2 linked regions of the Saccharomyces cerevisiae S288C genome follow. The protein of the gene in region 2 interacts with the protein of the main gene of each other region in a pairwise test. Each region holds a gene or a part of one and is shown on either strand. Other genes may lie near its edges. The genes, in order: BI4 and NAM2.

Evidence for each region.
Region 1: the proteins of NAM2 (region 2) and BI4 interact in a two-hybrid assay, tested with the Saccharomyces cerevisiae proteins (3 studies listed by BioGRID).

What each region holds. Positions count from the first base shown.
Region 1 is NC_001224.1:34,616-42,628, reverse strand, and holds BI4 (intron-encoded RNA maturase bI4), read right to left. Parts: upstream 6,090-8,013; coding exon 5,675-6,089; intron 4,907-5,674; coding exon 4,893-4,906; coding exon of another isoform or gene 4,050-4,892; intron 3,489-4,049; coding exon 3,412-3,488; coding exon of another isoform or gene 2,364-3,411; intron 1,789-2,363; coding exon 378-1,788; downstream 1-377. Other genes in the region: COB (cytochrome b), read right to left, coding at 71-121, 1,539-1,788, 3,412-3,488, 4,893-4,906, 5,675-6,089; cytochrome b mRNA maturase bI2, read right to left, coding at 4,050-4,906, 5,675-6,089; cytochrome b mRNA maturase bI3, read right to left, coding at 2,364-3,488, 4,893-4,906, 5,675-6,089. UniProt on the Saccharomyces cerevisiae protein: Mitochondrial mRNA maturase required for splicing of intron 4 of the cytochrome b (COB) gene, containing its own coding sequence, and intron 4 in COX1, coding for the related homing endonuclease aI4.
Region 2 is NC_001144.5:881,251-886,742, forward strand, and holds NAM2 (leucine--tRNA ligase NAM2), read right to left. Parts: upstream 3,502-5,492; coding exon 817-3,501; downstream 1-816. Other genes in the region: CTF3 (Ctf3p), read left to right, coding at 1-674; DNA repair protein SMC6, read left to right, coding at 4,038-5,492. UniProt on the Saccharomyces cerevisiae protein: Catalyzes the attachment of leucine to tRNA(Leu) in the mitochondrion.

The sequences.
Region 1 (8,013 bases), on a different chromosome or scaffold from region 2:
TATTATTTATTTTTTTTATATAAAATAAATAAGATTAAATAATAATAATTTTATTAATATTTTTAATATCAATAGATGCTGGTGTTACTAAAGGATTACCAGGAATATAGTTATCAGGATGCTTTTATAATAAATATAAAATGGACTATATCTTCATAAAAATTTATATTACACTATCTTATTTCATAAACTATTATTATTTCTTCAATCATGTTTAATGATCAGAATTTTATTTAATAAGATTGTAAAAATATAATCTACCGATTCATAATAATTTATATTATCTTTAACAATAATTTACAAAGATGTTATATTATTATAAGGAATCTTTAAATATTTTATAAATTAGATAATATAATAATGAATACGGAGAAAATTTAATTATTATTTCATTTTTCATTAAATTTTAATCAAGCTTTATATAAAGCAGTATTATGAGGTGCTTTAAAAGCTAATAAATCATATAAATAATAAAATTTATCAATTAAAAATAAACGTTTACCTTTATTAGATTTAGAAGGACAACTTTTATTATAAAGATAAAAAATATTATGTAATTCTTTATTATTAATAGATCATTTAAAATAACCATTTTTAGCTTTATCAAAATAAATATTACCACCAAATACTTCTCTATAGTATTCAACATCATGTAAATATTTATTTGTAACGCTAATAGTTAATTGAGGTCTAATTTTTAATTTACCGGAATAATAATAATTAATAGTACCATCAGCATCAAAGAACCCTATAAATCAAGCATTATCTTTAGTTAATTTAATAGGTTCTTTAAAATCGATATTTAATAAAATACATACTTTATTAAATTGTACTAATCTTTTACTATTACGAATATTACCATTAACGGCATTAATTAATTTAATTATACCTTCTTTATTTTGTAATCTATATCTAATAGCCTTAACACCTGATCTTAATTTTACAGAACCACCAAATTTATCTTGGATTTGTCTTAACATTTTTTCATCTTTTAATTCTACAAGAATTTCACAAGATGCATATTTATTTTTAGTAATACAAAAATAACCATCTCCGTCAATTAAACCGGCCAATCATTGGTTAAATCTAATATTACTATCTTTATAAATACTATAATGTCTTTTAAGAATAATTTGATTTATTTTTTTTATATTAAAAATATTTAATAAATAATTAAATTTATTTTTTAGTGTGCGTGTAGTCTCTGAAGTATCTACTAATAAATTCTTTTTATTACTCGTTAAGTGAGTATTAGAAGAATTTATATTGGTTACCTGCTGATTATCTTCTTTATAATAATATTTTACTCTATTGGGATTAAATAAATCACTTACAATATTTATTTTATTATATTGCTTTGTTCAATTAAATTTTAATACGAAATTATTTAATTGTTTTGTATTTAAAATATTTTGAATAATAAAATAATATAGAGTTTTATTATAAATTTTTCATTGATATTTAATAAATAAAGATTTCCAGCATACAGCACATAAAATATTAATTACATATGTAATTAATAATAAGGCCATATTTTGACCTAAAGTATTAGGTGAATAGAATACAAATAATGCTAAAATTAACATAAATAAGAAAACAGTTACTAAATCTTTAAAAATAAAGTATGAATGCATTGGAATTCTATCTAAATTACCTGTAATACCTAATGGATTAGATGAACCATGAATATGTAATGCCATTAAATGCATAATAACCATTGCAGCAATGATAAAAGGTACTAAATAATGTAACGCAAAGAATCTCTGGATTAGAGGGTTAGATACTGAGCTTTTAATGTTTAAATAGTTACATATTTGAAAACTATTATCAATATATCACTATATTGTTCGGACTATATCTTAATCCTATTTATGTATATATATAATTATATATAAATATTTATAAATGATTATATATTAATCATAATATTTATTTATAAAAAAAAAAGATAAATATTACTTCTAAAGTTTTTATTTCTTATTTATTAATCATAAATTATAATTAATAAAATTATACTTTTTAATTTATAGTTTCGATATCCTAAAATAGAAATAAAAATACCATAAAATGATAAGATTTTAATTATTAATAAAAATTAATAATGAAGGAGAAAATAAATATAATAAAATAATAAATAGTTCAAAGGAATTATTTATTGATAATAATATATTTAATATATAATTAAACTCCTTCGGGGTTCGGTCCCCCTCCCGTTAGAATAGGGAGGGGTCCCTCACTCCTCCGGGGTCCGCCCCGCGGGGCGGGCCGGACTATATTTATAATAAATAATTATATATAAATTATATTTTGTTTATATAATTATATAATATATAAATATATTATTATTATATTTTTATATAAGATTAATATTTAGGAGGAATTTTAAAATAATTATTATATTTAAGAATAAGACGTAAATCTTTTAAGAATAATAAATATTGTAATTTTTTATAACCTAATAATTTAATAGGGTTATTATTAATAAATATTACAACATTTTTAATACCATTAATACTTTTAAGTGTTATTCTTGAATTATTAAATTTATCTGTATAAATATTTTGAGTAATTTTTAAATATGATTTAATAGCTAATATAACTTCTATACTATTATTTTGAGATACTTCAAAACTAGCAAGTTTTATTTTTTTATTTATAGGTTTATAAATACTAAAACAACTTTCAGCTTCAAAAAAACCAATTAATCATGAAGAAAAATAATTTTTATTTAAAATATCTTCAAGAGTATTAAATGGTTTAATAGGACGTAAATAATAAGATAAATCATTATAATATTTAATATCTTTTAATAAATTATCTTTAAAATATAAATAATCATAATGTTTATTAGTTAATATAGGATATTTATCAAAAATAGGAATAATAATATTCTTTAAATGATTTTTATTTCTTACATTAAATTTACATATTTCTTTAATAGTACCATCTTTTATTTTTAATTTTTTAATTGTTACTTTACCAATACCTAAAATATTTTTAATTTTATATAATAATTGAATATCTCTAATATGTATTTCAATACCTAATTCATATAATAAATATTTACCTTTTTTTGAAATAGTAATTCAACCATCTCCTTCAAATAAACCACCAATATATGCATAAATAGGATTATCTGTGTTTAATTTATGATTTTTATCATAAATAATAGTATTATTTATATAATAACTATAAAGTCTCTGAATAATTAATTTTATATATATATATATATTAATTACTGCTAATTTTCTTCTTATAATAAATATTTTAACTATATTATTTTTATTTCAAATTATATTATTATAAATAATTAATTGAATAATATAGTAATTTATTATTCAAATGAAGATATTTCAGCATAAAACAGATTTATTTAATATTATATTACTATAATATGGATCCTCTATATTAAACCCACCTCATAATCAAGATACAATATCGTTACCTACAAATGGAATTGCTGAGAATAAATTAGTAATAACTAGTGCCAAGAAAATAATATTATTTATAAATTATTATTATTTTTTAATAATAATAATCTCAATATTTATTGATTTATTAATATAAATAATACCCTGTATTTAATAATATCTACCCTTTTTATAATTCCATTTAATCACTATTTTCTCTTATGAATAAATATTTATACCTAATAATACCATAATATAAATATTATATATAAATGTTATATATAAATGTTATATATAAATGTTATGATGGGGTTATTATTATAAAAATATTAATCATAATAATTATAATTCATTATTTATATATTAATTAGGTAAATGGAATAATAACAGTAGTTATATATATAATATATATATATAGATTATTAAACCTTGTGTTATAATAATAATATTATAAATTTTCTTCGAATAAACATTAAATATTATTATTTTTTTTATAATAATACCTATTATTGGTGTATTCTGTTGGGATCATATAATTATATAACCCACTGTCTTGTTACTTAATAATATAATTTTGACATGTTTTCAATAATATCGCATTATAATAATATAATAATTAATATAATACTATATATTTTATTATAAATAATTACCTAATTTATATTTTATACTAGGAATAATATAAGGAGATACAATTTTAGTTAAAATAGGTATAGATTCTTTTCATACATAAATAACAAATTGTGTATTTTCTTTATTGCCTTTAAGAATAGTAGATTTAATATTATATTTATTATGTAATAAATAAAGTAAATATTGAACATCTTTATAACTAAAACAATTAGTTGTGAATTTTAAACCTTTACCTAATTTACATCCATCATCTATAATTCAAATAGCTAAAGCTAAAGGAGTTAAATAATTGTCTAAAGATTTAGGAATAACTTTAATATTACCTTTTCCAGATATATTTTTAATATACCATTCTGAATAAATCATATTAAATGAATCATAAGTTCATGTATTAAATTTTAAATATTGTCTAATTTTACCTTTTTTACCTAATCTAGTTTTAATTAAAGGTAAATTAGTATTACAATAACCTAAATTAGCTAATAAACTATGTAAATAATATAAATAATTAATATTACAATATTCTTGTTGAAATACAATTCTTGTTCCTTTACCACCTTTTCTTTTTTCAGCATGACCATCTCCTAATATTGAACCATAAATAATTGATAAAATGTTTATATTTAATGGACCAATATTATTATTTATATCTTTCTTATTTGTTATATTTAAATTAATTATATATTTATTTTTATTAATATAATCTATACTCTTAATTAATATAAGATATTCTTTAGTTTTTATTATTTGTCTTATTATAATCGTATAAAAAATATAAATTAATAATATTAACATTATTATATAAATTAGTTTTATTATATTAAATATATTTGAGGCGATATTTATATTACCTCAATGTGACAATTGTGATAGGTAGATCTTTACAAATTTTCCCCCACTCAGAACTGTACGTACTACTTTCATAGTATACAGCTCAAACAATTTATATACTATATAAATCATCCTATATTGAAGTTAGCATGCTTTCACATTAATCATTTATTCGTTATTATTATTAATTAATTAATTAATTAATTAATAATAATATTAACCATTATTAATATATTTTTATTAAAATATATAAATAATTTGATCTATATTATACATTACATATAATCTTTAGCTTTTTCAATAGTCTTTTACCCACTTATCTATATTATAATTTCTATTATTATTTATTTAATAATATTATATATAACTACCATATAATATTTATATTAATATTATATGGAAATAATTGGGCTTACCAAGTTTATATTATTATACTTTCAATAATTCACTTAGGATTCTAATTTTATACCGATGAGTATTAACGTATATATATGTATTCTAGACAGAATTGAATATCTTACTTCTCATATAATTATTTTTATTTATTATTATTTATTAATTAATAATAGAAAAAAATATTGTTTATGTTACGATATTTTATAATATTAGATTGACTTACGCTATCCATATGAATCTTACCTTAATAATTAATAATAATTATTATTATTAGAGTTTCATACAAAATTATTACTAATAATGCATGTCTAATTAGGTATATGTTATATATAAACATAATCATTTCATTAAAATAATTTATTTAATGGTATGATATTATAATAATATACTTATACTTGTCTCACTCTGTCCATAAACACAACAATAACCTAAAAAAGCTGTAGCAATAGTTAAAATGAAAATAATAACACCTACATTTCATAATAGTACTCTTGGTGATCTATATGAACCATAATATAAACCTTTAGCCATATGCATAAACATTACCATAAAAAAGAATGATGCACCATTTGCATGTAAATATCTTAAAATATAACCATTATGCACATCTCTTATAATATGTTCAACAGATGAAAAAGCTAATTCAATATTAGATGAATAATGCATAGCCATAAAAATACCTGTTACAATTTGAATAACTAAACATAAACCTAATAATGAACCCATATTTCATCAATAATTAATTGATGATGGTTGTGGTGAATCAATAATATAACTATTCACTAAACTTAAATACACATTTGATTTTCTAAATGCCATATTATTATTATTTATTTATAAAATATTAATAATATTATTTATTACTAATATTTTATATATATTAATTAATAAAAAATATATAAATATATATTATTAATTAATACTTATTATATATATATATATTTATAATTATATATATAATTATATTATAATATTAAAAACTATTTTTTTATTATATATACATATTTTATTATATATAAATTATAATTATTAAAAAAAAAAGATATTTCTCATTTTTTTTTCATTAATATAATCCATTAAAAAAAAAAGTTAATAGATTTTATTAATATTATTATTATTATTTATTAAATATAAACCTCGCGGGCGCCAATCCGGTCAACTACTGGGTTGGTCATTGGTCCCGTGGATAATATTAATTATATTATATCATTATTAATTTTTTTAATAAAAAGTTAATAATATAATATAATATTTAAAAATATTTATTTAATAATAAATAAATAAATAAATAAATAAATAAATAAATAAATAAATAATATTGACGATTATATTAATATTAATGATATCATTATTATTTAATAATAATTAATATTATGAAAGATTTTTATATTAATATTATATAAATATAATATTAATAATTTTTATATTATTTATTAATATTGTTATTATTATTATTATATTAACAATAATTTATTGTTAATATGTTATTTATATTATTATTAATTTATATTCTCCTTTCGGGGTTCCGGCTCCCGTGACCGGGCCCCGGAACTATAAAAAAAAATAAAATAAATTATATTATTATATATTATATTAAAAAAAAAAATTAAATATATAATAATTATAGAATTAATTAATAACAATTATTATTATTATTATTATACATAAATATTATTTATATAATTTATTATAATATTTATTTAAAAATATTATAATGAAAAATATATTATATATTTTATTATAGTATAATAACAATCGGTATTTATTATTATGAATATATTATTTGTATTAAAAAAAAATATATATATATATATAATTGTATTATATAAAATGTATATTATTAATAATTATTAATTAATATAAAGAATATGTTTAATTATATATACTTTTTTTACAAATATTTATTATTATGAATAACCTTAATCGGAATCGAACCGATATTATCAACATGAAGAGGTGATGTCGTAACCATTAGACGATAAGGTCTATATTTATTAATAATATATATATATATAATTATTATTATTATTAATAAATTATAAAAATAAAATTATTATTATTATTATTAAGTTTATTATTACTATTTATTAACCTAATTAAAATTAAATTAAATAAAATAAAATAAAATAAAATAAAATAAAATAAAATAAAATAAAATAAAATAAAATAAAACTTCTTCTTTAAATAAAAAAGGGGTTCGGTTCCCACGGGGTCCCGCACTCCTTCTTAAATAGGGGTTCGGTCCCCCAAAGGGATCTATCACTCCTTCCTAAAAATAATTAAATATTTTTAATATATATATATATATACATATATATATTAATTTTATTAATTCATTTAAAATTTATATTTATTAATATAATTTATATATTTATCTTATTCCTCCTTTCGGGGTTCCGGCTCCCGTGGCCGGGCCCCGGAACTATTAATATATAAATTGAATTATAATTATTTTATATTATTTTTATATATTACTTATATAATATTTCTTATAATTATATTAAGATTATATATATAAATAGGTTATTATATATTATTATATATATATACTTATTAATTAAATATATTTATATTTTATATTAATGAAGTAAATATTTTATTTAATATATATATATATATATAAATTTATTTATTATAAATTATATTCTTTTTATATTTATATTTATTATTAATTAATTAATTAATTAATTAATTAATTAATTAATTAATTAAATTATTATAATTGTTATTATAAATTATAATT
Region 2 (5,492 bases):
TGGCTTTCATCAGCTCGTTAGATATTTTAACTCAACTGTCGAAACAAACGAAGTCGGATTATGCGATCCAATATTTGATTGTGGGCCCTGACATCATGAATAAAGTGTTCAGTTCGGACGATCCTTTGCTATTATCAGCTGCGTGCAGGTACTTGGTTGCTACGAAAAATAAATTGATGCAATACCCGTCAACAAACAAATTCGTTCGGATGCAGAACCAATATATCATGGATTTGACAAATTATCTTTACAGGAATAAAGTTCTGTCATCCAAAAGTTTGTTTGGAGTCTCACCAGATTTCTTTAAGCAGATTTTGGAGAATCTTTATATCCCAACTGCAGACTTCAAGAACGCTAAATTTTTCACGATAACTGGTATACCAGCGCTATCCTACATATGTATTATTATTCTAAGACGACTGGAAACGGCCGAAAATACCAAAATAAAATTCACCAGTGGGATCATAAATGAAGAGACGTTTAACAATTTCTTTCGAGTTCATCATGATGAGATTGGCCAGCATGGTTGGATAAAGGGCGTTAATAACATTCACGACTTGAGAGTAAAGATTTTAATGCATTTGAGTAACACTGCTAATCCATATAGAGACATTGCAGCATTCTTGTTTACATATTTGAAGAGTCTCTCAAAGTATAGCGTTCAAAATTCTTAGAATATGCATCCACATTTATATACATATATATATATATATATATATTATAACTTCCAAAAAGGAGATTGGACAATTTATATCTATAAGGCATTAATATTTAACTATTTACAAGCACTAGTGGTAAATTCATGGCGTCATATGATTACTTGTGGAATAAGAAACTAATCACATTGAATTTCATGACAAATTTTTTGATTTTTTTATTCATCAAATACATTCTCCCTTCCGGTAAGTTCATCAAAGTTTCAATAACAGCATCCCTACCTAATTTCAAAAAGTTTTTGTCAGCCGTGTACATGAATTTGACTCTGCCATTTACCACAATTTGAAACTTTTTGAATTTGGACTCAGTAGTGCGCTCAACTTCTGGCCAGCGGTATTGGTTCCATTCCATTTGGGAGTTGATCATCTCTGCAGCTTCTTCTGAAATTGACGGGACAGCAGGATATATAACGGTTACCAACTTTTGTAAATTCTGTACTATCATTTCATTCCTTACTTCACCTTTTTTCAATGCACTTTCTAAAATATTGGTTAGCTTCATATAATCAGATATTACAGTGTTTAACGATAGATTAACTTCAAATGATTCCGTAATTGATTTCAAGAAGCGTTGGAAATCGTTGTGAAATTTCACTTCTGCATCATTTAAGTCGGTCGGGGTCTTGTAGTCTTTACTTATTGCCAAATCCTTCTCGAGACTGAGAATATTTTTGGTCAAATGAAGAACCTTCTGCAACCAACGTTCTATACCAACAATCTTGGATTCATCCCAATTCAGGGCATCTGCAATTGGACTTTGGAAGAGGATATGTGCTCTCGTAGCATCAGGTCCATGTCTTAAAATACATTCATTTGGATCTGCACCATTGTATTTAGATTTCGACATTTTTTCATAAGAGACTACCGGAACCTTGCCATTTGATTTAATAATCACTGTGTTGCCATCTGGAGAGTCATTTACAAAGGTTAACTCGTCAGGCTTCAAAAATTTACCAGAATCGGGGTCAACATAGGTTTTCCCTTGAACCATTCCTTGTGTCACCAGTTTTTTGAATGGTTCGAAGATGCCAGCAGGGTCGCTCCATGCATTGATAGATCCGAGAAATTTAGCAATAAACCTTGAGTATAACAAGTGTAAGATAGCATGTTCTACTCCACCAATATAAATATCAACCGGCATATTTTTACTTGCAATTTCACGATCAAATGGTTTTGAAGTGTTTTTGGGATCCAAGAATCTGAAATAATACCAAGAACTATCGATAAAAGTATCCATGGTGTCAGTTTCTCTTTTCGCAGGGCTCCCGCATGAAGGACAGGCGACATTTACAAATTCATCGATTGTGGACAGCGGATTCCCTTTTGTATCCAAGCCTTCAAGTTCTGGTAGCTTGACAGGTAGATCACTTTCTGGAACGGGGACAGGTCCACAGTTGTCGCAGTGAATGATGGGTATTGGAGTACCCCAGTATCTTTGTCTACTTATCAGCCAATCTCTAATTTTGTATCTAACGACGCTCTTAGACAGTCCTTCGCTATTCAACATCCCCATTATCGATTTCCTTGCCACTACAGTGAGAACTCCTGAGTGTTCTCCGCATTCTTTGGTTAGGACACCGTCAGTAGATGTGAACGGGACAGTATCAATTATTCTTTGTCTTTCCTGTTCAGTTACTTTTGAAGCATCGTCAAAAAAAGGTGCTATGCACGTCTTGATATGTTCACCAGGACAATTTGTTTGCCAAAACTCAAAATCTCGGTTATCGTGTCCTGGACAACCCATTACTGCACTAGGTGCTGAACCATAGCTGCTGACCACATATGGAGCTGCAAATATGGGGACTTCCTCTTTAGTTAAGGGATTTACGGCCTTTATGTTAGGTAACTGAAATCCTTCCTTCGTATCGTTTGGTAATTGATCACTTTTCTGTATAAACTCTTTTAAATCCGGCATTTCCTCGCAGTATTTTTGTACAATTGGGTGGTCTAATGCGAGAGCAACATACTGTACAGCAAAAAGAGTTTCCGGTCTTGTTGTAAAGACAATCAAGTTTTCAAATTTGGGGTCCGCAACTTTGAACACTAATTCTGCACCCACAGATTCGCCTATCCAATTTTTTTGCATTTGCTTCACGTTGGAAGGCCAGTCCTTCAGTTGGTTCAAGTGCTTTTTCAATTTAGGAGCGAATTTCGTTATTCCCAAAAACCACTGTTTTAGCTGCTTCTTTTCCACAATAGCCCCTGATCTCCAAGAACGGCCCTGGGCATCCACTTGTTCATTAGCCAAAACTGTCATATCAACGGGATCCCAATTAATTTCTGCTTCTTTACGATAAGCTAAGCCATTTTCAAAAAGTTTTAAGAAAATCCATTGGGTGAATTTATAGTATTCGGGATCACATGTAGTTATTTCTCTGTCCCAATCAAAATTTGCCAGCATACTTTGCATTTGTTGTTTCATTTTTGCAATATTGTCCCTAGTCCATATGGCCGGATTAATGCTTCTTTCTATAGCAGCGTTCTCGGCAGGTAACCCAAAAGCATCCCATCCCATCGGATGTATCACGTTGTACCCTTTTTGTTTGTAAAATCTATTCAAAGAGTCGCTAATGACATAAACTCGGAGATGTCCTATGTGAAGCGCCCCAGAAGGATATGGAAACTGGCACAGAATATATTTCGACCCGCTATTCAGAGTATCCTGCTTAGGCAAGCCACGGGTTGTCTTCTGTTTCCATTTCTCCCCAATTGCAATTAATTTTTTCACTGCAGGTCCAGGGCCCCTTTTAGTGGATAGGAATCGGCTTGAAGGTCGAGACAGCATTTTTCCACCGTACACACACGTCGATTTATTCACGTACAGACTCTACAATATAGAGTACTAGCGCCTTGTTTAACACTCTGCTGTGCTCCTTCCTCCAAGTTCTTGATTCTCCACCGGAGCAACAAAACGACTTTCTTCGGTTTCTTTGATTCTTCGCGGAGATAAGAAATGAGATTCTTGGATCAAAAAGTGTGTCAGAGGTAGGGAAATGTCAAGCAAGTTCATGAACAGACCAGGAGTAGTATGGCATGGTATTAAAGATTTTTCTGTGGTATTTGATAGTTAGGCAAAAGGAACATTTTCATCCAAGTTTTATCAAAATTTCTGTTTTATAGTGAAAATTCTAAGTTAAACTTGCCAAAAACGCGTCGCGTATACTAAATTTCAATGTTTGGATCTATCAACATGAATATTTATATTTCATGTAGTGAAGTTCATAATAAGAAAAAAAGACAAGAGGCATATAGGTTCGCAAGAGATAAGTAGCTGCTGTTAATAATAATAAAGAGCATATTCTTGTTAGATTGCTAAATGGTATGATTTCGACTACGATTAGTGGTAAAAGACCTATAGAGCAGGTTGATGATGAGCTACTTTCACTGACTGCGCAGCAGGAAAACGAAGAGCAGCAGCAGCAGAGAAAACGCAGACGTCATCAATTTGCCCCCATGACACAGTTTAACAGCAATACACTAGATGAAGACAGCGGGTTTAGGAGCTCCTCTGACGTGGCCACGGCGGATCAAGATAACTTTTTGGAAGAGTCACCTTCAGGATATATTAAGAAAGTGATCTTGCGAAACTTTATGTGCCATGAACATTTTGAACTTGAGCTTGGTTCTAGGCTGAATTTTATTGTTGGTAATAATGGTAGTGGTAAAAGTGCAATTTTGACCGCCATTACTATTGGTTTGGGAGCCAAGGCTAGCGAGACTAACAGAGGTTCCTCTTTGAAGGATTTGATTCGTGAAGGTTGTTATTCTGCTAAAATCATCCTTCATCTGGATAATAGCAAGTATGGTGCTTATCAGCAAGGTATTTTTGGTAACGAAATTATAGTAGAAAGGATAATTAAGAGAGATGGGCCCGCTTCTTTTAGTTTAAGGTCGGAAAACGGCAAGGAAATTAGCAATAAGAAAAAGGATATTCAGACGGTAGTGGACTATTTTTCTGTTCCTGTAAGCAACCCCATGTGTTTCCTGTCACAAGACGCTGCTAGGTCTTTCTTAACTGCTAGTACCTCACAGGATAAGTATAGCCATTTTATGAAGGGTACTTTACTTCAAGAAATTACCGAGAATTTGCTTTACGCCAGTGCTATTCACGATAGTGCACAAGAAAATATGGCTCTGCACCTGGAGAATTTGAAGTCTTTGAAAGCTGAATACGAAGATGCCAAAAAACTGTTAAGGGAATTAAATCAGACTTCAGACTTGAACGAAAGGAAAATGCTTTTGCAAGCGAAATCGTTATGGATCGATGTTGCCCATAATACAGATGCTTGTAAAAATTTAGAGAATGAAATCAGTGGCATTCAACAGAAAGTTGATGAAGTTACTGAGAAAATTAGGAATAGGCAAGAAAAGATTGAAAGATATACATCTGATGGTACTACTATTGAAGCGCAAATTGATGCAAAGGTCATTTATGTTAATGAAAAAGATAGTGAGCATCAAAATGCAAGGGAACTGTTAAGAGATGTCAAAAGCAGGTTTGAAAAGGAGAAAAGCAACCAAGCAGAAGCACAAAGCAATATCGATCAAGGTAGAAAAAAAGTAGATGCTTTGAATAAAACAATTGCGCATTTAGAAGAAGAACTCACGAAGGAAATGGGCGGTGATAAAGATCAGATGAGACAGGAGCTTGAACAGTTAGAAAAAGCTAATGAAAAATTGAGAGAGGTAAACAATTCTTTAGTTGTAAGTTTGCAAGATGTGAAGAATGAGGAAAGAGACATCCAACATGAACGTGAGTCTGAATTGAGGACAATT